4 linked regions of the Anolis sagrei genome follow. The protein of the gene in region 1 binds, or shares a complex with, the protein of each later gene. Links are inferred from orthologs where the notes say so. Each region holds a gene or a part of one and is shown in the gene's direction. Other genes may lie near its edges. The genes, in order: TAF11, TAF8, TAF13 and TAF4.

What was found.
Region 2: TAF11 (region 1) and TAF8 share a complex: the UniProt entries of both Homo sapiens proteins name them as parts of the TFIID basal transcription factor complex. The link is inferred for Anolis sagrei from reciprocal best matches to the Homo sapiens genes TAF11 and TAF8.
Region 3: TAF11 (region 1) and TAF13 share a complex: the UniProt entries of both Homo sapiens proteins name them as parts of the TFIID basal transcription factor complex. The link is inferred for Anolis sagrei from reciprocal best matches to the Homo sapiens genes TAF11 and TAF13.
Region 4: TAF11 (region 1) and TAF4 share a complex: the UniProt entries of both Homo sapiens proteins name them as parts of the TFIID basal transcription factor complex. The link is inferred for Anolis sagrei from reciprocal best matches to the Homo sapiens genes TAF11 and TAF4.

The regions. Positions count from the first base shown.
Region 1 is NC_090024.1:189,429,063-189,436,851, reverse strand, and holds the start of TAF11 (transcription initiation factor TFIID subunit 11), read left to right. Parts: upstream 1-4,780; 5' UTR 4,781-4,814; coding exon 4,815-4,967; intron 4,968-6,628; coding exon 6,629-6,771; intron 6,772-7,406; coding exon 7,407-7,494; intron 7,495-7,730; coding exon 7,731-7,789. UniProt on the Homo sapiens protein: The TFIID basal transcription factor complex plays a major role in the initiation of RNA polymerase II (Pol II)-dependent transcription.
Region 2 is NC_090024.1:191,185,465-191,193,431, forward strand, and holds the start of TAF8 (transcription initiation factor TFIID subunit 8), read left to right. Parts: upstream 1-4,962; 5' UTR 4,963-4,989; coding exon 4,990-5,061; intron 5,062-6,614; coding exon 6,615-6,771; intron 6,772-7,350; coding exon 7,351-7,449; intron 7,450-7,570; coding exon 7,571-7,633; intron 7,634-7,967. UniProt on the Homo sapiens protein: The TFIID basal transcription factor complex plays a major role in the initiation of RNA polymerase II (Pol II)-dependent transcription.
Region 3 is NC_090023.1:40,844,006-40,851,207, reverse strand, and holds the start of TAF13 (transcription initiation factor TFIID subunit 13), read left to right. Parts: upstream 1-4,192; 5' UTR 4,193-4,273; coding exon 4,274-4,300; intron 4,301-7,202. UniProt on the Homo sapiens protein: The TFIID basal transcription factor complex plays a major role in the initiation of RNA polymerase II (Pol II)-dependent transcription.
Region 4 is NC_090024.1:232,167,383-232,175,281, reverse strand, and holds the start of TAF4 (transcription initiation factor TFIID subunit 4), read left to right. Parts: upstream 1-4,885; 5' UTR 4,886-4,895; coding exon 4,896-5,295; intron 5,296-7,899. UniProt on the Homo sapiens protein: The TFIID basal transcription factor complex plays a major role in the initiation of RNA polymerase II (Pol II)-dependent transcription.

The DNA.
Region 1 (7,789 bases):
AACTAAGACTTTGCCTGAGATCTTCATTAGAACGCTGCTGACAACAATCTAATTTGGCACAATTGTCTAGAATGATGAACAAATGTTGCAGTTAACAAAGTTGTCCACCCACTTTTGTCTTTTCTTATCTTTCATCTGTCATTAGGGCATTACTAATGTGTAGCTTCTCCTTCAGTTGTAGGACAATGGGCCTCTTAGCTGGCTTGTAAGTGTGTGATGCGAATTTCACTTCTGTGCATCTATGGTAATAGGATATTGTATCAGGAATGTGTAAATGATGGACAGTGCCCTTGAAGGCAAGAGGATGTAGTAGGTATTTCTATGATGGAGACCAATCACATGCAATTACCTCTCTGAACACCTATGTGAAGACGTGAACCAGATGCCTCATAAATTCAAAAGGGGAAGGAGGTACTGTGTATGATGACAGCATATAGCAGGAGTCTGGTATTCCTTTAGTATGCATGAGATATTAAAAAAATTGAATCCATCCTTTCAAAACACAGGAAATGAGACAAAACATGAATTAATACAGCTGAATATGCTAGGATGATGTGCATGCTAATTTAGTTTGCTCTTCCATTTCTGGTCAAACAGGTTCTGCGGATTTATGAAGTATTACAAGTGTTGCAACATTTATTTGATTAGAAGCAACAGTTGGACAGAAACTAATGTACATGCCGAGCAGTTATACCAACCCTCATTTTAAAAAATGTTACTAGCTTCAATATATCCAACAGGTTCTTCACTAAGTATTTATCCCACCTTGCCCACTGAAATAATAAATGGCATGTCACATTGAGATGGTGTTGGTTCTCCTGGTAGGGAACATACTAAACTCTTTCACCAGTGAGTTGACTTGATGGATAAAGGCATCTGCAGTTAATTTCCCCTCTACTTACTGCAAATGTATTGGAAGTGGTAGCTTGAACTCAAAGGCACAATCAACCTTCAATCATAAGTTCTGATTTGCATTCTGTTGCTGCAATATTTCAATTTTGTATCTGTGTCTGGTGCAAGTTTTATATATGTGTGTGTGTGTTTGATCAAAATTGTTTATTTTATATATTTTATGTTAATATGTTTTTGACTATGTTGTATCCCGCCTCGAGCCATCAAGAGATACAAGTAATAAGAAATTTATAATTTTTATTACTATTATCATTATTACTTGAACTCTGGAATATGTCAATGTGTGATTTCCTGTATTCTTTTCCTATACTATTTACACCATGCTCATACTTGAAAGCATTGCACTAAATCAAATTAGTTCCAACTAGAATAGCCCCATTGAACCAGTGGGACTAACATATGTGTTGATTTATTATCCAGCAGCTGATGTACTGGGGCCCCTTCTACACTGTCATATAATCCAGATTATCGAAGCAGATAAATCACATTATCTGCTTTGAACTGGATTATATGAATCTACACGATCACATAATCCAGTTGAAAGTAGAGAATCTGGACTTTATATGGCAATGTAGAAGGGGCCTGGGAGTACTCTAATTAGTACTAACAATTTAATATAGCCCATTATCTTGTCAGATGTAGGGTGTATCTATGCTGTCAAATTAATGCAGTTCCATAGCACTTTAATTCTCATGGCTCCATGCTATAGAATCCTGGGACTCTGCCAAAGAGTGCAGGTGCCTCAACACAGGCTCTCTTGAGCTCATTTTGCTGATGTCAATTAAACAACATTAAACAGGGCTCTGAAAATGAAATTTTCAGTACAGGTTCATCAAGTTAGGCTAGATTGCTATCACATCTGAAGTATGCTTCAGAGACAAGTATGTGCTGGCCATTGCTCCCCTCCCTCTTGTTATAGTCAGTTGTAAACAAATTCTCCACATATCTAGAATGTGAAGAAAAGCTGTTGTGGGTTGCTGTGAGTTTTCTGGGCTGTATGGTCATGCTCCAGAAGCATTATCTCCTGACGTTTCACCCACACATATGGCAAGCATCCTCAGAGGTTGAGGAATCTGTTGGAAACTAGGCAAGTGAGGTTTATATATCTGTGAAATGTCCAGGGTGGGAGAAAGAACTCTTGTCTGCTTGAGGTAGGTGTGAATGTTGCAAATGGCCACCTTGAGTAACATTTAATGGCCTGGCAGCTTCAATGCCTGGCTGATTGCTGCCTGGGGGATTCTTTTGTTGGGTGGTGTTACCTGATGGAGTATTGTCTGGAATTCCCCTGTTTTCAGAGTGGTGTTCTTTATTTACTGTCCTGATTTTAGAGGGTTTTTTAAAATACTGTTAGCCAGATTTTGTTAATTTTCATGCCTAGTTTCCAATGTATCCCTTAACCTCTGAGGATGCCTGCCACAGATGTGGGCAAAATGTCAGGAGAGAATGCTTCAGCAGCATGGCCATAAAGCCCGGAAAACTCACAGCAACCCAGTGATTCCGGCCACTAAAGTCTTCGACAACACAAAAGCTATCATGCTTTTAGGAAAGTAATAGAATATTTGATTTTCACCAGAGATTTAATAATATTAGCAACTCTGAGGCTATATAGACCCAAGTGCCTGCATGCCTTTGATTTTCATACATACGAGGGGTGTCCATTAAAGATTTCCCCAACCCTCTTCTATTTATCACAGGATGCTGAAACTGCACATGTGTAATGATATAAGTCTCTATACGTTTGTGCCAATTTACACCTCAGAACGGATAACAGTCTTGATTTTACAGGTGTTGAAGTGGTGTGAGGTTTGATAATGGACCCAGTGGAATACATAGCAATCCTCAAGTTCCTTTACTTGAAAGGCTGCATACCAAAGGAGGCGTTAAATAAGATGAAAAAGGTTTATGGTGATGATTCTCCATCATATGAGGTAGTCAAGAACTGGCATCGTCAATTCAGATGTGGTCAGACTTCGGTGGAAACAGCTCCAACTCTAGGAACAACCCATTCTGCTATTGATGAACACATCATCCAGCAAGTGGAGGTCACCATTTTGGAAAATTGCCATTCACCACCTAGCCTGATATGTCAAGATTATTGTGGAGTCTTTGGAAAAAATCTCCCAAGACCATCTTCACATGCATAAGGTATCCTCTCGCTGGGTCTAGGTAGAGAAGGACTAATAACTGTGTCAAGTTTGATTGCTCTCAGTCCACAGGAAGTGGGTCAGGGAAAATCTTTAATGAATGCCCCTCATATCTGTTGTTTCGACATTTCTGTTCACTGAAGGCTACAACTGAAAGAAAGATGGTAGAAAACCATGCCTCACATGTGTGTTAATTTAAAACATACCAAAGCGTGCCTGAATCCTGACCACCTCAGTATTGAGGAAGTTCTCAAATACACAACTAAAACATCTCCTTGGACAGTGATAATACAAACAAAATAGGTTGAGCATCATTTATCCAAAGTTCTGGAATATGAAACATGCCGAAATTGTCCGTATGGGCAGCTGTGCTTTTTGATGGTTCAATGTACACAAACTTTGTTCAAGGCACAAAAATATTGTGTGTAGAATTGCTTTTGGCCTATGTGTATATGGTGTATATGAAACACAAATGAATTTATTGTTTAATCAGGTTCCATATTCAAGATATTTTGTGCATAGAAGGCATGATAATTAAGTTTGCAGATGACACCAAATTGGGAGTGATAGCCAATATTCCAGAAGACAGGAGCAGAATTCAAAACGATATTAACAGATGAGATGGGCCAGAACTAACAAAATGAAGTTTAACAGTGACAAATGCATGATACTCCAGTTAGGCAGAAAAAAAAATGAAATGCAAAGATACAGAATGGGGGATGCCTGGCTTGAGAGCAGTACATGTAAAAAAGATCTTGGGGTCCTCGTGGACAACAAGTTAAACAAGAGCCAACAATGTGATGCGGCAGCAAAAAAAGCCAATGGGATTTTGGCCTGCATTAATAGGAGTATAGCATCTAGATCCAGGGAAGTAATGCTACCCCTCTATTCTGCCTTGGTTAGACCATAACTGGAATACTGTGTCCAATTCTGGACACCACAATTGAAGAGAGATATTGACAAGCTGGAATGTGTCCAGTGAAGGGCAACTAAAATGATCAAAGGTCTGGAGAACAAGCCCTGTGAGGAGCGGCTTAAAGAACTGGGCATGTTTACCCTGCAGAAGAGAAGGCTGAGACACGATAACCATGTATAAATAAGTGTGGGGAAGTCACAGTGAGGCGGGAGCAAGCTTGTTTTCTGCTGCCCTGGAGACTAGGACACGGAACAATGGCTTCAAACTACAAGAAAGGAGATTTCATCTGAACACTAGGAAGAACTTCCTGACTGTGAGACCTGTTCAGCAATGGAACCCTCTGCCCTGGAGGCTTTTAATCAGAGACTGGATGGCCATCTATTGGGGGTGCTTTGAATTCAATTTTCCTGCTTCTTGGCAGGGGGTTGGAATGGATGGCCCACGAGGTCCCACGAGGTCTCCTCCAGTTCTAGGATTTGAAAAAATAAAATAGAAATGTTTTTGATCCCAAGCATTTCGGAGAAGGGCTGCAGCTTGGGGCACATCTACACTGTAGAATTAGTGAAGTTTGACACCGCTTAATGCTATGAACTTATGGGAGTTGTAGATTTGCAATTTTTTTTATCCTCCTCTGCCTCAGAGTGGTGGGACTTCACCAAACTACCACTCCCAGATTCCAATGCCGTTAAAAGTGGCATCAAATCCATACAGTGCAGTGCTGTAAGGACACAGTTGCTTCCATGAGAGCTCAGGCTTGGGCTGGCTTCTTCCGTTGCCAAGGAAACGAAAGGGCAAGGCGGCTGCGATGACGTCATCAGGGCGCGACAGAGGCCTTTCCCAGTATGGCGGAGCCGGCGGTGTCTCGCAGAGAAGAAGCCGTGCTTGTGTCCGGTGCGACTTCGGGCGAGGAGCCGCCTGTCTCTGCTGCGGGGGCGGCTGACGGGAAGGAGAAGGGCCCCGGGGAGCCGAAGGAGCGGGAAGCGGCGCCTGGAGAGGTGGGAAGGGAGGGGAGGGCCTTCTATGATCTTTCAGCTTTGAGCCAAGGCTGTTCTAATGGGAGCAGGCCGCATTTATGCTGCAGCAGGCCTGGGCAAACTTGGGCTCTCCTTCCAGGTGTTTTGGACTCCAACTCCCACCATCCCTCACAGCCTCAGGCCCCTTCAAACTGGTGGCCAGAGATAACAAACTGTCACAAAAAATGTGCAAAATAAAGCCCTCAAGGTGCATCAGTGCTTTGTGTCATCATCATGCAGGCTTCAGATTCATTCCAGGATCTCCTAAGCAACCATCTACACAGCAAAACCACGTTTTTCAATACTGGTTTGAAGCAGCATTAAATGGTCAGTGTAGATGTGCCCTGTGTTATCTGAAAATTGTGTCACCCCCCAGAACTGTTTTTGCAAATTCAAAGGAAAGGGGCTGCATGGAGAATGGAGGATTGCACACTGTGATGGAACCCCTCTTCAGGTTGATGTCGTGTTCAAACCCTTGAGATTTTCCCAGGCTCAGGCAGGCCTTCAAATGCTAATGAAGGTGGTCAGTTGAAACATTCACACCTAGCTCTAGCAGGGAAGAGCTCTTTGCCCCACCCCAGCCATTCCACAGATATATAAACCCATTGTCCTATTTCCAACAGACCTCACTACCTCTGAGGATGCTTGCCATAGATGCAGGCGAAACGTCAGGAGAAATGCCTCTAGAACATGGCCCTATAGCCCGAAAAAACCCACAAGAACCTAGTGATTTCAGCCATGAAAGCCTTCGACAATACCTTGAGCTTCTGTCACTCATCTTGCCCTTTTACCTTAAAGATTCCCTCCCAGGACCTGATACTGAGGCTTCATGGAGACCACTGCACTGGGCAAGTGAATGGGTGATCAGTGATAAAAGGGCAACCACCTCTAGTTCAAAGAAAGTCATTTCTCCTTGAACCTTTACAACTCTTTCAGCTCCCTAAAACCTATTACAATTTTATGAATCCATCTCTTTCTACAAGGTCCTGAGTTTTATCCATATTCCTGTGTTTCTGAAGGACCCCGGCTCTTTAACAGACAAGCCTCTACATCAGAACTTTTAAAACATTTTCCACTTGCAACCCCTTTCTGTCTGATAATTTTTATGCGATCCCAGGTATATAGGTATATAAAATAGGTATAAAAATTACACATTTACTGATAATAAATCAGCATTTGCAAGGCTTGCTAAACAGAATGATTTTACTTTTTGAAAAGTATAGCTGAAACATTTTCAGCGGAATCCACTGTAAACACTGTTGCTAACAGTTTTGTGTAAATCGGTGGTATTCAGAACCTTTTACTGCTGCCACCCCAAAATTGACTTTATTTGGGGTCAGGACCCACAGTTTAAGAAGCAATGATCTATATTTTCTCCTTTCCACTACAAGTCTCTCATCACAGCATTCTGTAATTGTAATAGGCTGGCTCTTTACTTCACACACACACTTCCCAGTTAGACCTGGCCCTGCCATTCTGCCAGAAGAATGCTATCTTTGTGTTTTGCCCATTTAAGACAGATTCTTAAATTGAATTTTTTAGTGTTTATCAGCTATGATTTATAAGTTCTGTCATGAGTTATGGTTAGACATTTAAGAACTATGTTAGGATTATAGCTAAGCTGAAAATAATTTTCTTCTTAGATCAGAACTGAGGATTCTGTAGGTCTGCTCACAGGAGAGACAGAGGAGTCAACATCTTCTGCAAGCAAGAAAGTAAAAATAGAGATAAAAGATAAAAAAGATAAAAAGAATAAAGTTGATGAAGATGAGATTCAAAAAATGCAGTGAGTACTCTTATTTTACCTGATGCATAACTTTCGTTGTTCCTAATAACCTGTAGAAGACTAAACTTGCTAGTGAACAATATTGTACTTTTTTGTTTCGCGCTGTTATTTATTGGAGATACACGCTATTAAGCACTTGATGGGGCTTGCAACCTCTTTGTCTATGCTTCCCCCCCATAAAGATGGAAAAGCTTATTTCAAATAAGTATGTAATAATTACTCCTAAATTAATTTATTGATATGCATTCCTGTCCCTTTTAGACTATTTTTACGGGACTGGATCCAGAAAGCCAGTGCATGCATATTCCTTTGTCTGCAGTAGCAGTCTGTGCATCCCTTAAAAGTTTGGTTCCTGGTGTGAGATATCCCTGGGAGCACTGGAGGAAATAAAATTGAAATTAGTGAAACTGATGCTTCCCTCTCCCAATCAGCAGGAACATTCATAATGGAATATGCGTCAGAGCTACCATTGATGCAAACAAAGTCTGGAGTCAATCCATTCTTTTATCAATAGGAATTATGTTATGGTATTGTCTCTGACTTCCAAAGCTGTGTGCTTCCTGTAGCTTTAAGTGTGCTACCAGTTGTAGATCGAATGATGTCTCTAATTCCATGCTGTTATTGTTTTCCTCAAGAATACTAGTTTCCTCTTTTTCTGAAGAACAGCTAAATCGCTATGAGATGTATCGTAGATCAGCTTTTCCGAAGGCTGCTATTAAACGGGTAAGGTTGTGCTTTAGTCTGGTTTGAACTGTTTTAGATTTGCCTGTTGATTTGATCACTATGTGTAATATGAAGAATGTAGATGCAGTGTTTTGACTGGATAAAATCTGTCATTTTGACTTATCCCAGTCAGTGATGCAGCTACTAGGATTGTTATTACATAAGGATGTATAAGATTTAAAAATTACAAATGCACATTTATAAAACTGGATTTTGTATCCTTTCTCCTTTCTCAGTTGATCCAGTCAATTACTGGAACCTCTGTCTCTCAGAATGTGGTTATTGCCATGTCAGG
Region 2 (7,967 bases), about 1.8 Mb from region 1:
CCCAGTGATTCCGGCCATGAAAGCCTTTGACAATAAATAGAAGGATGTTTGATAAAATAGAAGGGAATAGAAAAATAGGAAGACCACATTTTCATTGGACAGATACAAGGAAGTCATGCTAGATTTGTAGGACTTGAACAGGACTGTTGTTAACAGAGAAATGTGGAGGTCTCTCATTGAGCCAGAATGATATAGTGGTTTAAACATTGAACTGTGACTCTGGGTTTATGGACTAGCATGGATCCATTTTAAAACCAGCTTCTGCCCCCTGCAGAATTCTGGGACTTGGGGAGTTTAGGGAGGAGCCTTTAAACTGCTAAGCCAGAGGGGTCCTGGTCTCACTAAACTACAAAACCCAGAATTCTGCAGGAGGCAGAAACCAGATTTGAAGTAGATCCATGTCCTAGTGCAGGGGTCCTCAAACTAAGGCCCGGGGCCGGATGCGGCCCTCCAAGGTCATTTACCCGGCCCTCACTCAGGGTCAACCTAAGTATGAAACTACTTGAAAGCACACAATAATAACAACAATCCTATCTCATCAGCCAAAATCAGGCCCACACTTTCCATTGAAATACTAATAAGTTTATATTTGTTAAAATTGTTCTTAATTTCCTCCTGACTATTTCTCCAAATTATTGTATTGTTGTTTTTTTTTTTGCACTATAAATAAGATATGTGCAGTGTGCATAGGAATTCATTCATATCTTTTGCTCTAGTGTGATGAAGTCCCTATTCAGCCCTGGAAACCACTTAATGACCTTTGACAAGTCACACTCTCTTAGCCTCAAAGAAAGGCAATGGGAAACCGATTCTGAACAAATCTTCCCAAGAAACCCCTGTGATAGGTTCGCATTAAAGTTTCCATAGGTCGAAAATTACTTGAAAGTAACTACAGCAACATTAATAGAGTTGCCATAAGTTGAAATCAACTTGATGGTTTTTAAGAACAAATACAAAGAAAAACACTCTTCTAACAAATATTTTTTCCAAAACAGTTTTGAACACATGCAAACACACACATCTAGCTAAAACAATCAGACAAAACTATGATGGTTTTAAGGATCAAGGCTGAAGTAGCACTGTCTTGGTTCTTTGTTGGTAGCTCAAGTTGAATGGAGCCATCAAGGTGTCTCCAGGGAGGGAAATCCATAATTAGGATGTCACTACAAAGAGAACCTTGCTACATTTACCTACCAAGATAGGATGCATCTCCACTGTAGAATTAATGCAGTTTGACACCACTTGAACTGCCCTGGCTTGATGCTATAGGTTCATGGGAGTTGTAGTTTTATAATATCTTTAGTCTTCTCTGCCAGAGTGCTAGTGCTTCAACAAATGAAAACCCCCATGATCCTATAGAACTGGGCCGTGACAGTTAAAGTGGTGCCAATCTGTGTTAATTCTACAGTAGAGATGCACCCGGTGGAGGGGCATGCAGTAGCACCTACACCCAGGATCTCATATCACTGGTCAGAATCGTTTATGTGTACATGTTCTGAACAACAGAAGCCACTTCAAGACTGCCAAAAATATTCACAAAAGTTAGTAGAGCAAAACTAAGGTCCCTTCTACACTGCCATATAATCCATTTTATCAAAGCCTATAACCCACAGTGTTTGCTTTGAACTGGATTATATGAGTTTACACTGCCATATAATCCAGTTCAAAGCAGATAATGTGGACTTTATATGGTAGTGTAGAAGTGCCTAAGTGAGGAAGGACAAGTTTGGGGCAAATCTAATGGGCACATGTAAAACATGTATAATAAATAGTGCTCTTCTTTAACATCTAAATCCAGTTAGGATCATATAGGAACTTACTCAGCAACAATTCCCAAATACAAAAACAACAATCCATGCATCTGATGAAGTGGGATGTAGTTCACAAAAGCATATGCTATCCCCCCCCCCCCCTTTAATTTCAAGGTGCCAGAAGATTAATTCCTGTCCACTCCCACATACGAATTTTTGCAATGGAATTTAATTAATTATTTCTGTGGAAGTCTGGCTCTAACCACATACATTAAATATTTTATCCAGGACCAAGTTGTGGTGAAATCCATATTCACTCTACATTACTCATATGACTGCATGAATCTTGTGGAATTTCTACAGGAAACATTTTCACACATTCATTTCAGCCCTTCCTTGCTGGGGCTATTCTCACAGGACAAGAACTTGCTACTGACCTTGTTTAAAAACATCAAAAAAGTAGCTTCCTACCTCATTGTCGATGATCAAGAAGCTCAATTCTCTGATGACACTTTTTAAAAAAGCAACAATGCAATGTTCCCGAATTTTAATTTATTTTAGTTAATTTTCCCTTTCTCCAAGCACCATTGCCAGAAAGTCGTGTTGCTGAAATAGGCACTGTGAGTTAAATCAACACAACCGAAGACCTTTAATTTCCAGACTTCTGACGGTTGTTTACATTTCTATACTTCAGCAGTGTAATTGGTTGGAACAATACTGTCTGTCACATGTATTGTGCTTGGGCAGGAAATGGGGATCAGAGGGGCTACAAGATGTGGGTTTCCTGTTCTGCAGACTGTAACGCACACATGTTTTTGTCCTCAGTACAATAATCATCCATAGAAAAAAAGAAAGTGAAATGGGAGAAGACACAGTGTTAGAAGCAGCTCTGAAAATAACAACAAATAAGCATTGCAGCTTCTCCAGATGCTCAGACAAAACCAAAACAGGCTCTTTATTTACAAACATTTTAAAACTGATTTACAAATCCGATGTAGAAATTTCCAAAGAATGAGACAGTTATTGGAACACTGTGGGCTGGATTAGAAACATTATCAAATTGCCAGCAATGAATCTTAATGTTTCATAAGGGACAAATGAGAAACACAGCATGCATCTATACTGTAGAATTAACGCAATTTGACTCCACTTTAACTGCCCTGGCTCAATGCTATGGTTGGTGAGGCAGGGAATTCTCAAGACACTGTAAAAATATACCTTTCATGATCCCATAGCACTGGGCCAGGGCAGTTCAAGCAATGTCTAACCTTAGATTCTGTAATGCAAACAGGGACTTGTATTATCACAACTTGTAAATCTTGAAACATGGTTCTCATGCTCCCTCTCAACCTCCCCTTCTCCAGGAGGAAAGGAGGAAGGAAAAAGAGAAGGAAGGAAGGAAGGAAGGGAAAGAGAAGGATGGAAGGAAGGATGGAAGAGAATGGAGGGAGGGAAGAAAGCGAGAAGGGAAGACAAAAGGAAAGGAAGGAAGGAAGGAAGGAGAAAGGGGGAGAGAAGGAAAGGGGAAAGGAAGGGGAAAGGGAAAGAAGGAGGGAGGGAGAAAGAGAGAGGTAAGGAAGGAAATGAAGAAGGAAAGAAAGAGAAGGAAAGACAAAAGGGAGGGGAGGAAGGAAGGAAGCAAGGACAAAAGGAAAGGAAGAGAAGGAAAGACAAAAGGGAGGGAAGGAAGGAAGGGGGGAGAAAGAGGGAAGGAGAGAAGGAGAGAGAAAAGAGGGAAGGAAGGGTGAAAGGGAAGGAAAGAGGGAGGGAGAAAGAGGGAGGTAAGGAAGGAAAGGAAGAAGGAAAACAAAAGGGAGGGAAGGAAGCAAGAATGAAAGGGTGGAAGGGAAGGAAGGAGGGAGAAGGAGGGGAGGGAGGGAAGGAAAGAGAGAAGGACAGAAGGGAAAGAAGGATGAAAGGAAGAATGGAAGATAATGGAGGGAGGGAAGAAAGAGAAGAGAAGACAAAAGGAAGGGAAGGAAGGAGAAAGAGGGGGAGAGAGAAGGAGAGAGGGAAGGAAGGGTGAAAGAGAAGGAAGGAGGAAGGGAGAGGGAGGTAAGGAAGGAAAGGAAGAAGGAAAGACAAAAGGGAGGGAAGGAAGGAAGCAAGGATGAAAGGGTGGAAGGGAAGGAAGGAGGAGAAAGAGGGAGATGAAAGAGGGAAGTGTGAAAGGGAAGGAAGAAGGGAGGGAGAAAGAGGGAGGTAAGGAAGGAAAGGAAGAAGGAAAGAGAAAGAGGAGGGGAGGAAAGAAGCAAGGACGAAAGGGTGGAAGGGAAGGAAGGAGGGAGAAAAAGGGAGAGAGAGAAGGAGAGGAAAGAGGGAGGGAAGGATGAAAGAGAAGGAAGGAGGAAGGGAGAGGGAGGAAAGGAAGGAGGAAAGACAAAAGGGAGGGAAGGAAGTAAGCAAGGACGAAAGGGTGGAAGGGAAGGAAGGAGGGAGAAAGAGGGAGAGAGAAGGAGAGAGGAGAAAGGGAGGGAAGGATGAAAGAGAAGGAAGGAGGAAGGGAGAGGGAGGAAAGACAAAAGGGAGGGAAGGAAGGAAGCAAGGACGAAAGGGTGGAAGGGAAGGAAGGAGGGAGAAAGAGGGAGAGAGAAGGAGAGAGAAAAGAGGGAGGGAAGGATGAACGAGAAGGAAGGAGGAAGGGAGAGGGAGGAAAGGAAGGAGTAAAGACAAAAGGGAGGGAAGGAAGGAAGCAAGGATGAAATGGTGGAAGGGAAGGAAGGAGGGAGAAAGAAAGAGGGAGGTAAGGAAGGAAGGAAAGGAAGAAGGAAAGACAAAAGGGAGGGAAGGAAGGAAGGACGAAAGGGTGGAAGGGAGAGAAGGAAAGAGAGAAGGAAGGATAGGATGTGTGAGAAAAGTGCCCAAGGTTTGCCCTGCCCTCTATAGGTGCATCTACATGTACAAACTTTGGCCCTCCAGGTGTTTTAGACTCCAACTCCCTACTGCCTGTTAGGAATGGTGGGAGTCGAAATCCAAAACACCAGGAGGGCCGAAGCTTGCCCATGCCTGGTCTACACTATTGAGTTAATGCAGTTTGGCAGCACTAGAACTGCCATCTATGGAGTGATGTTGCTTGGTGAGGCAGAGAAGGCCCAAGGCGTGGTCAGATTCTCACTTCATTCTCCCAGCGCAGCAGGCGAACCCTCCCTCCCTTCCCACTCAGCAGCAACACACAGGATGAGAAGGACAAGCCCCACTCTGAGAACTACAATCCCCAGAATCCCTTTCGCCGGCGCGCATGCTCGCATCCTCCCATGGATCCAAGATGGCCGACACAGGGACCGGTGGATCTGGTAGCAGCTCGGGCACGGTAAGGGCGGGGCTCTGAGGGCGCGACTCTCTCTCCTTTCCCTCTTTGTTTTCTGGGTCGAAGGGGGCTTCTTCGTGGGCCAGGGCCTCTGCCTTGGGCCCTCAACACGAGGCGTAGAGGCCCAAGAGCGAAAGGCAGGGCCTGCTTCGGATTGGAGAATCAGGGGAGGCGGGCGGGTCTTGATTGGTCGAGCTCCGTTGGCCCTGGTTGGCTGGGGCAGGTGCCAATCATCTTCGGACCCATCTGGGCCCATGTGGGTGGCCCAGAATGGTCGCAGGTTGACACCACTGTCACTACCATAGCTCCATCCTATGGAAAAGTGAGAGTTGTAGTTGATTGTGGCACCAGACTCTCTCACACGGGAAATGTCCCGCAAAACTACAAATCTCAGAATTTTATAACATACATCCATAGCAATGTATTGTCATAGAATCCAGAGTTGGAAGAGACCTCATGGGCCATCCAGTCCAACCCCCTGCCAAGAAGCAGGAAAATTGCATTCAAAGCACCCCCGACAGATGGCCATCCAGCCTCTGCTTAAAAGCTTCCAAAGACGGAGCCTCCACCACACACTGGGGCAGAGAGTTCCATTGCTGAACCGTCAGGAAATTCTTCCTAATGTTCAGATGGAATCTCCTTTCCTGTAGTTTGAAGCCATTGTTCAATTGCGTCCTAGTCTCCAGGGCAGCAGAAAACAAGCTTGCTCCCTCCTCCCTGTGACTTCCTCTCACATATTTATACATGGCCATCATGTCTCCTCTCTGCCTTCTCTTCTGCAGGGTAAACATGTCAAGTTCTTTAAGCCGTTCCTCATAGGGCTTGTTCTCCAGACCCTTGATCATTTTAGTCCAGGCCCTTGATCATTTTGTCAAAGGCTTTCATGGCCAGAATCACTGGGTTGTTGTAGGTTTTTCAGGCTGTATGGCCATGTTCTAGAAGCATTCTCTCCTGACGTTTCGCCTGCATCTATGGCAGGCATCCTCAGAGGTTTGAGACCTCACAACCTCTGAGGATGCCTGCCACAGATGCAGGGGAAACGTCAGTAGAGAATGCTTCTAGAACATGGCCATACAGCACGAAAAACCTACAACAACCCAGTTCATCTGTAGCAGTTAATGTGGTGTCAAACTGCTATATTTCTGCAATGTGGACCAATCCCTGCTTGGGCTGGAAGCATATCTTTGCTGCTCTGTACTTGGAGATTGGACTTGCATCTCAATATAACATCCATTTAGGTTTCATCTTATACACATAGCTTGAAGGCAACCACCAACAAAATTGAAGAAATTATACTTTAAATTAAAATCTGTTTTTATAATATAGTGAAAAAGAAAAAACCCAGGTTATTTTGCATTAAGTTTATCTTTATTTGCTTTTAATTGTTGTATTTCAGTCTTAATATCAAGTCAGTACAAAATTTATGGTATAGTATGATTAAGCATACTTTTCAGAGTAATCCTCACTCAAGCAGAATCTACATTTATCTGTTAGTCCCCTTTGTGTCCATCCTTCATCCATTCCCTGCATTTTCTTGGTTGATTTTGCCCCAAAAGCGCTCAGGTGGTAAACACTCTACGACTCCTGCGGATAACTATTATTTGGCTCGAAGGCGGACCCTGCAGGTGGTGGTCAGCTCTCTCTTGACAGAGGCTGGGTTTGAGAGCGCAGAGAAGGCCGCTGTGGAAACCATGACGGAGATGCTCCAGAGCTGTGAGTAGCCCCCAAATGATGGCTTACATTAGAAAGACAGTGCCATTTCCTTAGTTTAAAATCACCATTCTTTTAGATATCAATAACAGATATTTTGAATTTACATTCATCATCGCTTCTTTAGTCAACTAGCTTGTCTTTTCACCATTTGGTATCCCAAATGACAATAGTTGAGTTAAGTTACCATTATGTATGTGGGTTTGGGATACCTTTCTTTTGAGTTTCTTTTAAATGTGTTTGTATGTGTTTTGCTAGTAGTGTGCTTTGTATGTTTTTGAATTTATTTATTTTTGGATGTATATGTGATGGCTTTAGTAGATATACAGCGCTTTTGTTATAATGCATGTGCATAAATTTTTTGTGTGTGGTATGTGTAGCTTGTACATTTACTCCTCTTGCCTATCTATGAAATGGGCATCTTGTTCTGTTTTGTGATTTAAATGTACAATTTGGCCTTTGGATCTCCCATGCCTGTCTTGCATTTAGGGAGGACTTTGGAAAGGATTTTTGGGGGGAGTGTGAGAGAATGAAGGATATATATTTCAAATCTCAGTTCCGTGGTGATCTTTGTTTTAACAGATATATCAGAAATAGGGAGGAGCGCCAAGTCTGTCTGTGAACATACGGCAAGGACTCAGCCAACCCTTTCTGATATTGTCGTCACCTTAGTTGAAATGGGTGAGTGCCTTTATCTTACATGGGTGTAACGCTGGGAAGTCAGGTAGAAATGGGATTATATACAGATGCCAACAGACTGGATATTATTGCTTTTAACTTTTCCTCTTTTTGTGTGTTTCAGGTTTCAATGTAGAAACGCTCCCTGCGTATGCCAAACGGTCCCAGAGGATGGTGATCACTGCACGTACGTGAGATTTGGTCTAGTGACAACTATGGTGAGACTGTCCCTAGGACTGCCAACCTCCCCCCACAAAACAATAACAGAAACCCACATAATGACAAATGACTTCTTCCAAAACCCAGACGTCGTCAGATTTGAATGTTATGCAATGTAGTCCCCCACAACTTGATTAAAACTTGACCTGCCTCCCCTGGAAGCATTTTATTCTTTCCAAGAGCTCTTGAAGAAGGTAATTAGGTGAATCCGAAAGGGCTGAGGCTTTCAAGGACAGCCTTGATGGTAGCATGATGCCCAACAGCCACACTTTGCTCACCCCAGTTTTGTTGTCTTCCTAATG
Region 3 (7,202 bases), on another chromosome or scaffold:
CCCCCCCTTCCACCTCCCTCCGGCACATGGCAAAAAGCATGAGGCAGAGGCGGTTTCGGCCCTCTTGGCCCCCTCACAGCGATCCGACTGCCATGAGGGGCCACGAAACTCCACCTGCTGAGGGCCCAGAGGGCCACCTCTCCATGCGATTTTTACCCTACTGGCCTGCGTCGGCGACGCAACCCTGCCCCATTCCGCCAGTATCTTCCCAAAAGATGTTTCTGATGAAGCAGGACGTTTGATCCCAGAATAACATGCGCCCATCTCTCTTGATAGCCCCACACTGAAGTGGCTAATCAGGGTAGCCCCCCCAACCGCTGGCAAGCTAGAGCCTGAACGGTCCCCTAGCAAGAGAGCCCGAGGCGATCAGCCCTTGGCAGCTAGGCAGTCCGAAAGGGAAGGGCTCCCTCTCCAGCGTAGCTCCAGCCAAGGCCGCAAAAGCGAGCTGAGTTGCTATTCTGGACCTCAAACGTGGATGTTCGCTACCTCCCGCCAGGAATTTGTTACCGAGACCTAGAGAATCCCTCCCCAGTGGGCCGACTCCGAAGCTGGTTCAGAAAGCCTAGAATCCCCTCCCACCTGGCAGCCAAGGCAGCCCGCGGTTGGCTTCTTACCCGTCCGGACGTTTTCTTCCCCCCTTTCCGCGTCGGTCGCTCCTCTTCCTGGAAGTCCTTAGATCAAGGCTTCCCTGGCGCTCCTTTGTGCTGAAACCCTAGGTCAGAGCTTGGGAGGAAGTGGCTGCGGGAGAATTTGTAGTTTTGGTTAGCTGGTCAAATGAAAGTCCGAATTGGGAGAGGCGCCTCTTTTCCCAAGCCGTTCCTCCTTCGCTGCTGGCCCAAAGAATCAGACCAAGGCGCCTGCTTGAGAATTTAGGCTATAATTTAGTCTGGAACCTCAAGCAGCAGTCCCTTCGTGGTAAAGCCAAATGATATCGAGCTCCTTTTTTGGAGGGTTCTCCCAGCGAGGGGGAACCCTGGAGACCTCTAATGGGGTCTTGACCTTGGCGAGCTGCCAGCAGAAGCCAATCCAAAGCGCACAATATTAAGAATTAATCTCGCCAGAGGCTGAAGAGGTACCCAGCGACCGAAGCGTTTATTTAGCGATTCAGCTGAAAAGGATGCATTACAGGGATATTTCCTCAAGTAAGCATACAGTACAGTGATTTTCAGGCATATTTATACAGACAGAACAAAGGAATCCTGGCTTGAATCTCCCGCCCGCCTCCTGTCAGTCCCCTCTGTCCTGGTTGGCCGGCTCTGGAACAGCTGGGAGGAGGCTTGGCCGCTGGTCCCACCCTCCCTCCAATCGCCGGCCGCTGTTGCCTCCAGAGGGCCAATCAGAGCCCTCGGAGCGCCTCCAGAGATTGTCCAATCAGCGGCCAGGAGGCGGGCTCTAGTTTGACAGCGCAGAGGGGCGGAATGCCTGGGAGGCGACTGCCAGCTGATGGAACACCTTTTGTCTCTTCACGGCAGGGAGGCGGATGGGGAGAACAAGGGATTTCCTGGGTCTTGATAAAAGATGTGTATGAGCAACAAAGGGAGGCTATGGATGGTGTCTGGATCTCAACCCTGTAGGCAAAGGAGATCCTTTGACACAAGGGAGCATACACAAACACCATAATTGATGCAATCAGTCTGTTTATCCGGGCTTCTGGCTGATAAAATCTCTGACTTTTGTTTGTCTGAACTCTGAAAAACAAAGCCATAGATTCGCCAGTATTTTCCATGCAATGTCAATATGAATGGAGCTTCTTCCAAGGAAATTGGATTTCCTTAACTGTAATCCCCTGGTCACATATTCTTTTGTAGGGCAAAGTTCAAGAGGGGAAATGCAAGGAAAGGGTGAGGGTACATTTCATCACATTTCATTACATATTATACATATTTCATATATATTTTCTTCATAGGCTTTCATAACTCATAGATTTCATAGGAAAGATCCCCATCCCGTCCCAGCAAAGTTTATTAGAAAACCCACAGCAATTAATAAAGGCAATCATCAGAGTCCCTGAAGTATTATTCTTTGCACGAAGGCATGCACCCACAGGCGGGGGCCATGCTTCTCAAGCGGCTGGTTTGGAGTTCATAGAGGAAGTCCGTGGCGCTAGGGCACCAAGTCAATCAGAGAAGGCAGAAAGATCCGCAAAGAGTCCGCAAATGGTGGAGAGTGGGGCAATGTCCTTTGGAGAACTACATTTCCCTGATCTTTGGGCCAGGGTCCAGTGCACAAGCCAGAGAATTCACAGAGAGGAAACAGGAACCCAGTTATGTGTGCTGGGTCAGGAAGCGGCAGAATCCATTGTCTGGCCCTTGGCGAACTACAAATGCTTGGGGGGGGGGATGCTCTGCATCAGAATCACTGGGTTGCTGTAAGTTTTCCAGGCTGTATATATCCGTGGAATGTCCAGGGTGGGGGAAAGATATACAAACCTCACTTGCCTAGTTTCCAACGGACCTCACAACTTCTGAGGATGCCTGCCATGTGGGCAAAATGTCAGGAGAGAATGCTACTGGAATATGTCCATGCAACCTGGAAAACTCACAACAAAGAATGGGAATATATCTGAAAGCACTTACGTGAGACCTGAGCGCAATGCCAAAGGATACAGTTTGTTGTGTAGAGGCCAGCCCATAGCATCCCTAATTAAACATTGTATTATTATTGTAGCAGAACCTGGGGAAAAATGACTGTTGTTGGAAATGTTAACAGAACTCTGTTGGCCTCTCTTCTTCAGAGGCCAGAGCAAGGAAATACTGTATAAACTAGGCCTACCTCAATACCCGTATATTTATTTATTTAGTTTAAGGATCGCTCTCAGAATCCCTTGATTTTGCAACTCAACTAAACAGATAAGCTATTTGCTTATTCCAAAGCCGAGGGGCCACCATGGTGAAGGCACTCTCCCTTGTCCCCACAAGTCGCGCTTGCGCCTCCCCAGAGGATCGAACAGGTCGTACAGGTTCATAGAAGGAAATATGCATGGAGCCTTAGGTAAATATAAAAGTTTCCCCTTGACATTAAGTTTATTTAGGTAAAGTTTTCCCCTGACATTAAGTCCAGTTGTGTCTGACTCTGTGGTGTGGTGCTCATCTCAATTTCTAAGCTGAAGAGCCGGCATTGTCCGTAGACATCTCCTAGGTCATGTGGCAAGCATGACTGCATGGGCCACCATTACCTTCCCGCTGGAGCGGTACCTATTGATCTACTCAAAATCAAATCAATTGATCTACTCACATTTGCATGTTTTCGAACTGCTAGGTTGGCAGAAGCTGGGGCTAACAGCAGGAGCTCACCCCACTCCCCAGATTCAAATCGCCGACCTTTCGGTCAACAAGTTCAGCAGCTCAGTGGTTTAACCTGCTGCACCACCAAGGCTCCATGGGACCTTACATTTGCTCTTTAATGGGAATGGAGTATTTATTTATTTATTTATAAGTTTTGTATACTGGCCTTCTCACCTCTCTTGAGGGACTCAGACCGGTTTCCAACCATAATATCACATACAATCAATAAAACATCATAATACATATTACAGTAAAACATTAAAACAGCAATTACAATAAATAACTATAATGGTTAGTCGTCACACTAAAATCGTTGCTCATCATCCTCCATCCATATCTCAGGGTGTTGGCTCACTCGTCGAATGCCTGTCTCCATAACCAAGTCTTCACCTGTTTCCTAAATGTCAGGATAGAAGGGGCGGTTCTGATCTCCAGTGGGAGAGAGTTCCAGAGTCTAGGGGCCACCACTGAGAAAGCCCTGTCCCTCATCCCCACCAGACGCGCTTGCGAGGCCGATGGGACCGAGAGCAGGGCCGCTCCAGACGATCTTAATAATCTTGATGGTTCATAGGGGAGAATACGTTCGGAGAGGTAAACAGGGCCAGAGTCGTTTAGGGCTTTGATAAGAAAATAACCTTTGATAAGAAAATAAATGTAGGCCAATATTACTAGTCCTTTTCCCATCCTGAGCCATGGCAGTTAAAGTGGTATCCAATGCCCAATAAGTCTACAGTGTAGATGCACTGAAGTATGGCTTTATGAGAGCAGTGAGGGAAAAGTACTAGATGGGGTCCAAAGGCCTAGTGTTCTAAACAGAGCCTGACACCTCTGGAGAAGGGCAATGTGAGTGATAAGTGCAGCTGTGGCTGCCTTTCTTCGCAGGGCGCATGCTCAGAAGTTCTTCGTGAAAGGACCAATCGCAGCGCGGGCGGAAGTGCTTCCTGATTGGCCGGGACAGTGGGACAACATTTCCGTCGCTTCCAGGAATCATGGCGGACGAAGAAGAGGATCCTCCCGTGAGTGAGGAAGACAGGGGCTCAGTTTGGGGCGAGAATAACATTGTTTTTAGACTTCCTATCCTTCTTGGATGCCCTTTGGGAGGCTGAGGGGGACACTTGCTGCCTTCAGAGCTTCCCTAATTCATGGCAAGACCGTGGGTGCATCTACACAGTAGAATTGATGCAGTTTGGCACCACTTTAACTGTCATGGCTCAGTGCAGTGGAGTGCTATGGTTTGTAGTTTGGCTAAAGGCCTTGTAAAACTACAACTCCCAGGATTGAGACGTGGCAGTAAAAGTGATGCCAAACTGCATTAATTCTACAGTATAGATCAGGCATGGGCAAACTTTAGCCCTCCAGGGGCGTTGGACTCCAACTTCCATAATTCCTAACAGCCCCGGACCCTTTCCTTTTCCTGAGGTTGTTAAGAATTGTGGGAGTTGGAGTCCAAAACCCTGGAGGGCCGAAGTTTGCCCATGCCTGGTATAGATGCACTCTGAGTATAAAATAGTTGTGATGTTGTAGGTTTTTTCGGGCTATATGGCCATGTTCTAGAGGCATTCTCTCCTGACGTTTTGCCTGCATCTATGGCAAGCATCCTCAGAGGTAGTGAGGTTACTACCTCACTACCTCTGAGGATGCTTGCCATAGATCAGTGGTTCTCAACCTGTGGGTTCCCAGGTGTTTTGGCCTACAACTCCCAGAAATCCCAGCCAGTTTAGCAGCTGTTAGGATTTCTGGGAGTTGAAGGCCAAAACATCTGGGGACCCACAGGTTGAGAACCACTGCCATAGATGCAGGCGAAACGTCAGGAGAGAATGCCTCTAGAACATAGCCATATAGCCCAAAAAAACTTAAACAACCCAGTGATTCTGGCCAAGAAAGCCTTCGACAATACATATAAAATAGATGTTAAAGCTATCTTGAAGCCAACAATTAAAATTAAATGATTAAATACAGTAGCTGAACTTAACCCCTGAAACCATCCACACTGCAGAATTATAGCAATTTTCCACCACTTTCACTGCTGTGTCTCCATTCTCTAGGATTTGTATTTTTTGTGGAACTGACAAAGAAAGGTAGATATCTCACAAAACTACAAATCCCAGAATCCCATAGCATTCAGTCATGGCAGCCAAATTGCTATAACTCTACACTGTGAATGTAGCTCTCTGTTGAACTTGAAGACCTGGAAATGTTCCGTTGGAATTAGACTGTGATGCTATAATAATCCTGTGCAGATTTTCCTTGGGGGAAATCTCACCCACTAATATGAAATTTATTTTGTACTAGGTGTATTTAGAATTTGCCAGTTTTGTCATTACAAACTTTAAACCATAGAATTATAAGAGTTGGAAGAGACCTCGTGGGCCATCCAATCCAACCCCCTGCCAAGAAGCAGGAAAATCCCATTGAAAGCACCCCTGACAGATGGCCATCCAGCCTCTGTTTAAAAGCCTCCAAAGAAGGAGTGTCCACCACACTTTGGGGCAGAGAGTTCCACTGCTGAAGAGCTCTCACAGTTAAGAAGTTCTTCCTGATTTTCAGGTGGAATCTCCTTTTCTGTAGTTTGAAGCCATTGTTCCATTGCGTCCTAGTCTCCAGGGCAGTAGAAAACAAGCTTGCTCCCTCCCCCTATTACTTCCCCTCACATATTTATACATGGCCATCATGTCTTCTCTCAGCCTTCTCTTTGGTAGGCTAAACAGCTCTTTAAGCTGCTCCTTATAGGGCTTGTTCTCTAGACCCTTGATCATTTTAGTCACCCTTCTCTGGAGACATTTGTTGGCTCATGTGGTATAGTTATCTTGAAAATATTTGTAAGAATTCTGTTTGATCAAAGCCATATTTAACTCAACATTTTCTTCTCACATTGGCCAACCTGATACATAAAGAAAGCCTACAGGCAGGACAGGAGCACAATAGCACTCCAAGGCCTGCTTTCCTCAACAGTTGGGACTAAAAGATCTTCCAGTACCGGTTGCCATTATTACTAATAGCCATTGGTAGTTTATTTATTTATTTATTTACAGAGTATATATTCTGCTCTTCTCACCCCGCAGGGGACTCAGGGTGGATTACAATGTACACATATGGCAAACATTCAATGCCAAAGACACACAACAGATATAGACAAACAGCCAGTGGCTATTTAACTTTTCAGTCGCCAGGGCAGCTGTCGCTTTAATCGTCCATCTGCGACACTTATGAAGTACTTCCGCATTCCCCGCATGCTTTTGCTGTAGTGCTTGCTGGAGTCCTTTTTATGGCCTCATAAATTAGTTAAATTAGCCTCCCCACACATAGGTGATACCTAATTTTCCTACTTGACAGATGCAACTGTCTTTCGGGTTGCAAAGGTCGACAACAAGCTACACAATTGGCCAGAAGTTCATTCCAACCCGGGCTGGCTTCGAACTCATGACCTTATGGTCAGAGGTGATCTTAATGAAGCTGACACTCAGACAGCTGTGCCACATTCCCAGTGTTCCATTCTTCGTTGATTTCTCTATTTCTGTTTTGACGCTGTTGTAGTTGGCAGCCATCCCTACATTTTTTCATAGTGAATGCATTTCTTTTTTGTCTAGTGTAAATGTCCTGCCATTCAGCTTTATTATATGAGTTGAGGTTTTATTTTGACAAGTGAAAGATAAAGCTATTTCCTATCTACTTTTCCCACAGCATACATATTTTTACATATTTATGATGTCTCCAACACCTTTATTTTATTTTTTAAAAACAACATTGCTTCATATGGGAGCATCTTTAGCCTTCTTATCATTTTAATGACTCCATTCTGCATTTTTTTTCTAGCATTACAGTATATCTTTTGAAGTACAATAAGGAGAAGTATACGTGATTCCCAGTGCATTCCCACTATAAATGTATATGGCACTGTGATATTGTTTGTTGTAGTTC
Region 4 (7,899 bases), about 43 Mb from region 1:
CCAACTCCACTTCTGAGTCTGTCCAGGGACTTCCAAGTTGCCCATTCTTGGTTTGCCCCTGGGAGGCCAGTTGGGATTGCCTGGTTTAGCTGCCCAGAGAGATGCTCTCGCTGTTGCTGGGGGAATATCATGAAACTTTTCCTTGATTTGAGGCTACTGGGAGGAGGCTGATAGTCATGCAGTGGATGGCTTTAACAGTGTTCAGCCTTATTTCTCTCATGATTGGCCACAACTTCCCATCACACATTTGGTGGGGCAGGGGGACAATAAGATCGAAGCGGTTTATATGGGGGAGGGAGATTGGTTTCATTGAGTAATTGATTTTAACTATTTTTTTTTACTTTGTATTGCATGTTTACATGTTGTAAGCAGCCAGAGGAGGGTTAGACTATTACTGTTTTCAACCTTGACTAGAACACAGCACCTTACTCTAGCTTGTTGGCGACTAACAAATTATACAATGTTCTTTAACTGCTTTAAAACTAATTAGTTTTGTTACTTTGTAGGTTTAATACATTTATATGTTTTATTTAATTATTTAAACATTGTATTTGTTATAATTTGTTATAGATGTTTTATCCATTTGGCTATTTGTTCATTTTGTATTGTTTTTATGGTATTGAATGTTTGCCATCATTTGCTGGAAACCACCCTGAGTCCCCTCATGGAGATCGGGTGGGTTATAAATAAAATTATTATTATTGTTATTATTATTATTATTATTGAGTCCACTTGCAGGGAAAGGTGGGGTAAAAATACCTTAAATAAATAATGCTTTAGTTGTGAGCCGCTTTGAGTCTCCATATGGAGAGAAAAAGTGGGATATAAATAAATATCATATAAACCAATCCCTCCCTAAAGAACTAAAAATTGCCTCCTCTCTCTTCTCCTTTAAAAAACTCATAAAAACCTATTTATGCACTTTAGCATATGGGGAGGAGGAGGATTAGTACATCTTAATTATATACTCTTGCTTAGATACTGGAAATCTACCTCAGCCCTGTTGGTTGCAGTAAACCACCCCATATTTTAATGCTCTGTAGCTGCTAAGTGTTTTATGTTGGTAAATGTGTGTAATCTGATATACTATGTTTATTTAACTTCTTACTTTTTGGTTTATTTATTTCGTATCAAAAGCATTGCATAAATTAGTATAAAACTGGGTGGGGCTTTCAGTGTTCAACCTACAGGAAACATACCCCCCCCCCCCCCCCCGGTTAGGTCAGATCCACTGGCTGCCGGTCCATTTCTGAGCATAATTCAAAGTGCTGGTCTTGGCCTATAAAGCCTTGTACGTTTCCGGCCCAGCTTACCTGTCCGAACGTATCTCCTTTGACGTCCCACCTTGGGATTTAAGATTGTCCGGGGAGGCCCTGCTCTCGGTCCCACCCTCTTTGCAAGTGTGTTTGGCAGGGACAAGGGACAGGGATGCTCTGTGGAATGTTCTCTCTAGCGAGAATAGGTTGGCTCTTTCCCTCCTCTCTTCCCGGAATAAAGGTATAACTCCCAGCAAAATGTCCTTACAAATGCACTTTAACCACTGGATTGCGTTGGACTGTGCCCCTCTCACTTTTTAAAACCCTCCTACAAGAAAGCAAAGTGCATAAGTGGGTACGACAGTTCAAAGATGGCTGTAACAACGTCCATGATGAGGATCGCTCCGGTCGCCCTTCTTTGATTACAGACGATTTGATCACACACTCAAATCTTTGGTTTTTGTGGTCCTCTGTTAGGAGTTTTGGGACCCAACGGGAGAACGGTTTCCTAAACTTTAGGTGTTCAGAAACAATGTTGTAAAGCACTGATCTCGACACGTCAGGATATTCGTTTGAGAGACCTGTTATTGTGAAGCGCCTGTTTTCACGAATCCTCGCTTCAACTGATCGTCTGTAATCAAAGAAGGGCGACCGGAGCGGTCCTCATCATGGACGTTGTCATGGCCATCTTTGAATTGTCGTACGCACTTTGCTTTCACTCATAACAGTATCACCGTACACTTCACAAATCTGTCGATGAATTTCTGCAGCAGGCAGGTTCCTTGCTGACAAAAACCGTATCACTGAGCAAACCTCACATGCGGATGGTGAGTTGATAGTCTTAAACATGTTTAAAGCACAGAACAGAACCGTACAGGTGAGCTACAGAGCGGAAACTGAGCACTGTTGTTCCCGAGGCATGCTGGTACACGACGCACGTGCTCGTTGCGGTATGCGCGCAAACTACTAGTGTCTACAACAAAACGGACCTTACTTTAAAAATACCCCTCGTATATAGCTGTGTGGAAGGGGCCGGAGTTTCTCCTTCCACATAGCCATATATCCCAAGAAGATCAAGGAATACCAGCATATCTGCTTTGAACTGGGTTATCTGAGTCCACACTGCCACATAACCCAGTTAAATGTGGATTATATATAGCTGTGTGGAAGTGGCCGGAGTCTCTCCTTCCACATAGCCATATATCCCAAGAAGATCAAGGAAGAAAATACCAGAATATCTGCTTTGAACTGGGTTATCTGAGTCCACACTGCCACATAACCCAGTCCAATGTAAGCTTTGTACAGCTGTGTGGAAGTGGGTTGTTGTAGGTATTTTTCGGGCTATATGGCCATGTTCTAGAGGCATTCTCTCCTGACATTTTGCCTACATCTATGGCAAGCATCCGCTGAGGTAGTGAGGTCTATTGGAACTAGGAAAGTGGGTTTATATATCTGTGGAATGACCAGGGTGGGACAAAGAACTCTTGTGTTGGAGCTAGGTGTGAATGTTTCAACTGACCACCTTGATTAGCAATTGATTGCCTGGAAGTGTCTGGAGCAATCTTTTGTTGAAAGGTGATTAGATGTCCTTGTTTGTTTCTTCTCTGTTGTTGTGCTGTTCTAATAGATAGATAGGGACACACAATTCACAGAAAGTTTCTTAGTATTGTCGAAGGCTTTCATGGCCTGTTAGAAGTAGGAAAATGGGTTTATGTATCTGTGGAATGACCAGGGTGGGAGAAAGAACTCATGTCTGTTGGAGCTAGGTGTGAATGTTTCAACTGAATGTTTCTTTGCCCACATGAAAGGAGGATGATGAATGGGATTGTGATGGTGTTGGACGATTTGGCTCTTTTAACTGTGATGATAATGTTTTAATGTGTATGGTGCTGATATTTTAATCGTGTTATGAAGTGGCATTGTGTTGTTATTGTATATTCTTTGTATGTTAACACATGTTGTGAACCGGTTCAAATCCCTCTTTGGGGGATGTCTGGCTGGGCAGGGCAGGTGGGACAAATTAAATAAAACACCTCGAAATAAATAAATTAACTGACCACCTAGCTCCAACAGACAAGAGTTCTTTGTCCCACCCTGGTCCTTCCACAGATATATAAACCCCTTTTCCCTAGTTGCAACAGACCTCACTACCTCTGAGGATGCTTGCCATAGATGCAGGTGAAACGTCAGGAGAAAATGCCCGAAAAAACCTACAACAACCCAGTGATTCCGGCCATGAAAGCCTTCGACAATACATTGTGTGGAAGTGGCCGGAGTGTCTCCTTCCACGCAGCCATATATCCCAAGAACATCAAGGAATACCAGCATATCTGCTCTGAACTGGGTTATCTAAGTCCACACTGCCACATAACCCAGTCCAATGTGGGCTTTGTACAGCTGTGTGGAAGTGGGTTGTTGTAGGTTTTTTCGGGCTATATGGCCATGTTCTAGAGGCATTTTCTCCTGACGTTTCCCCTGCATCTATGGCAAGCATCCTCAGAGGTAGTGAGGTCTATTGGAACTAGGAAAGTGGGTTTATATATCTGTGGAATGACCAGGGTGGGACAAAGAACTCTTGTCTGTTGGAGCTAGGTGGTCAGTTGAAACATTCACACCTAGCTCCAACAGAGAAGAGTTCTTTGTCCCACCCTGGTCATTCCACAGATATATAAACCCACTTTCCTAGTTCCAATTGACCTTGCTTGCCATAGATGCAGGCGAAACGTCAGGAGAAAATGCCTCTAGAAGATGGCCATATAGCCCGAAAAAAACCTACAACAACCCTTCAACAATACATTTTGTGGAAGTGGCAGGAGTGTTTCCTTCCACACAGCCATATATCCCAAGAAGATCAAGGAATACCAGCATATCTGCTTTGAAGTGGGTTATTTGAGTCCACAATGACACATACCCAGTCCAATGTGGGCTTTGTACAGCTGTGTGGAAGTGGCCGGAGTGTCTCCTTCCACACAGCCATATAAACCCAGATCAGCTTCATTCGGGATCCCAGTTCAAAGCAGACCATGTGGGAGAGGCCGGGGCCTCTCCTCCTGTCCTTCAAGGGCAGGAAGAGAGCCAAAGCGGGCGGCGAGGCCTAGTTCCCTCAGTGAAGCGCCGGCGTCGAGTAGCTCCAAGTCCCCGCCGCCAAGCTCCTCCAGCCCGGCGAGAGCGGAACAACAACAACAGCAGCAGAGGCCACCGCGGCGGAGACTGCAGCCATTTTGAGTTTCGTCAGAGACAAAGAACGACTGCGGCGGCGGCGAAGGAGGCTGTCAGACTGCGGGGTCTCTGAGTCGGCGACGGCGGCGACCACTCTTTTGAGTCCTCATTTCTCTTCCTATTTAAGACTAGGCCGCAGCCGGGCCCGTCGCCTGACTAAACCCTGGGAGCCATTTGCGCCCGCTTTTATACCCAGCCGGCGGCCAATCAGAAGCGGGCGGAATCCCTCTCCTCGCGCCGCGCGCATGCTCAGTGGCGGCACACCGAGGGAGACAGAGAGAGAGAGAGAGAGAGAGCCGGGAACCGCGTATGTGTAAAATGAGTGAGGAAGGGAAGGGAAGGGGAGGGGGGAGGAGGGAGGAGGGAGGAGTGAGCGCGCGCGAGAGGGAGGGGGGAGGAGGGAGGGAGGGAAGAAAAAAGATGGCGGCGGGCTCGGATCTGCTGGATGAGGTTTTCCTGAACGCGGAGGTGGATGAGAAGGTGGTGAGCGACCTAGTGGGCTCGCTGGAGTCCCAGCTGGCGGCCTCCGGGCACCACCGAGGCCACCACCGGCCTCCCGAGGGACTCCGGGCCGCCGCCAACGCCGCCACCGGGCAGCTGCTGGGGAACCATGTCGTGAGCGGCGGCGGAGGAGGCAGCCCCAGCCCCGGAGGAGGAGGCGGCGGAGGAGGAGGGGGAGGCAATGCCAGTGGCCAAACAGGGAGCCCCGGCACCACCACCTCCTCCTCCTCTTCCTCTTCCTCCTCCTCCTCCACAACCACTGCCGTCACCAGTAACGCCGCCAAGATGGGACTCAGTGGCCCAGAGACCACCAAGCCAGGTAACCTGGGGAAGGGAGAGGGAGGAGGGCCTCCTCGCCTCCCCTTCTCCCCTCTTGCCCTCCTCTCTTGCCCCCTTGCCTGCCTTCCTCGCTTCCTTCCACCCAGCTTCTCCTCCTTGTTGTTTTGGTCGCAATGGGCCGCCAATGTTCAGGCATGGGCCAACTTGGGCCCTCCCTCCAGGTGCTTTGGACTCCCAACTCCCACCATTCCTAACAGCCCCAGGCCTCCTCCTTTCCAGGAAGGGGCCTGAGGGTGTTAGGGATGGTGGGAGTTGGAGTCCAAAGCACCTGGAGGGCTGAAGTCGACCCATGCCTGCTCTACAGCCTCAGAGTCTGAATTATTCTTCCTCCTTCCCATACTCTGTTACTGAAGTGTCAGAAGTATGGGTTGATATTCATTACAACACCAGTTTCCCCAAAAGACCTGAAGTGTCAGGAGTAGGGGTTGCTATTCATTACAGTTTCCCCCAGAAGAGGAAGTAATAGGGAGGGATTGAGGGGCAGGGACCTGCTTAAAACTATGATAATCATAATCATAATAATAATGCCTTCTCTTCAGCCTCAGAGTCTGAATTATCCTTCTCTCCATTCTCTCTTGCTGAAGTGTCAGGAGTAGAGGTTGCTATTCATTAGAGTTTCACCCAGAAGAGGAAGTGATGGGGAGGGATTGAGGGACAGGGACCTGCTTAAAAGTATAATAATAATCATAATAATAATAATCATAATCATAATAATAGTGGGCCAAAGTTGGCCCATGTCTGCTCCACAGCCTCAGTGTCTGAATTATCCTTCTCTCCTTTCTCTGTTGCTGAAGTGTCAGGAGTAGGGGTGGCTATTCATTACAACACCAGCGTCCCCCAGAACCTGCTTACAAGTATAATATTTATAATAATACTGGGCCAAAGTTGGCCCATGCCTGCTCTTCAGCCTCAGAATCTGAATTATCCTTCTCTCCATTCTATGTTGCTGAAGTGTCAGGAGTAGGGGTTGCTATTCATTACAACACCAGTTTCCCCCCAGAAACTGGTGTTGTGATGGGGAGGGATTGAGGGGTCAGGAACCTGCTTAAAAGTATAATCATAATCATAATCATAGTGGGCCAAAGTTGGCCCATGCCTTCTATTCAGTCTCAAAGTCTGAATTATCCTTCTCTCCATTCTCTCTTGCGTGTCAAGAGTAGGGGTGGCTATTCATTACAACGCCACTTTCCCCCAGAAGAGGAAGTGATGGGGTGGGATTGAGGGACAGGGACCTGCTTAAAAGTATAATAATAATAATAATACTGGGCCAAAGTTGGCCCATGCCTGCTCTACAGCCTCAGAGTCTGAATAATCCTTCCTCTGTTGCTTAAACTAGGATAATAATAATAATGGGCCAAAGTTGGCCCATGCCTGCTTTACAGCCTCAGAGTCTGAATTATCCTTCTCTCCATTCTATGTTGCTGAAGTGTCAGGAGGTTGTAATGTAATGAATAAATAGGGGTTGCTATTCATTACAACACCAGTTTCCCCCAGAAGAGGAAGTGATGGGGTGGGATTGAGGGACAGGGACCTGCTTAAAACTATGATAATAATAAGAATGATAATCATAATAATAATAGTGAGCCAAATTGGCCCATGCCTGCTCTACAGCCTCAGAGACTGAATTATCCTTCTCTCCTTTCTCTGTTGCTGAAGTGTCAGGAGTAGGGGTGGCTATTCATTACAACACCAGCTTCCCCCAGAACCTGCTTAAAAGTATAATATTTATAATAATACTGGGCCAAAGTTGGCCCATGCCTTCTCTTCAGCCTCTGTGCCTGAATTATCTTTCTCTCCATTCTCTCTTGCTGAAGTGTCAGGATTAGGGGTTGCTATTCATTACAACACCAGTTTCCCCAAAAGATCTGAAGTGTCAGGAGTAGGGGTTGCTATTCATACAGTTTCCCCCAGAAGAGGAAGAGATGGGGAGGGATTGAGGGTCAGGAACCTGCTTAAAAGTATAATAATAATAATAATAATAATAATAATAATAGTGGGCCAAAGTTGGCCCTTGCCTGCTATTCAGCCTTTGAGTCTGAATTATCCTTCTCTCCATTCTCTCTTGCTGAAGTGTCAGGAGTAGAGGTTGCTATTCATTACAGTTTCCCCCCTTCATTACAGAAGAGGAAGTGATGGGGTGGGATTGTGGGACAAGGACCTGCTTAAAACTATGATAATAATAAGAATGATGATGATAATAATAATAATAGTAATAGTAATAATAATAGTAATAGTAATAGTAATAGTGGGCCAAAGTTGGTCCATGCCTTCTCTTCAGCCTCTGTGTCTGAATTATTCTTCTCTCCATTCTCTCTTGCTGAAGTGTCAGGAGTAGGGGGTTGATATTCATTACAACACCATCTCCCCCAAAAGACCTGAAGTGTCAGGAGTAGGGGTTGCTATTCATTACAGTTTCCCCCAGAAGAGGAAGTGATGGGGAGGGATTGAGGGACAGGGACCTGCTTAAAATTATGATAATCATAATATTGGGCCAAAGTTGGCCCATGCCTGCTCTTCAGCCTCAGAGTCTGAATTATCCTCTCCATTCTCCGTTGCTGAGGTGTCAGGAGTAGGGGTGGTTATT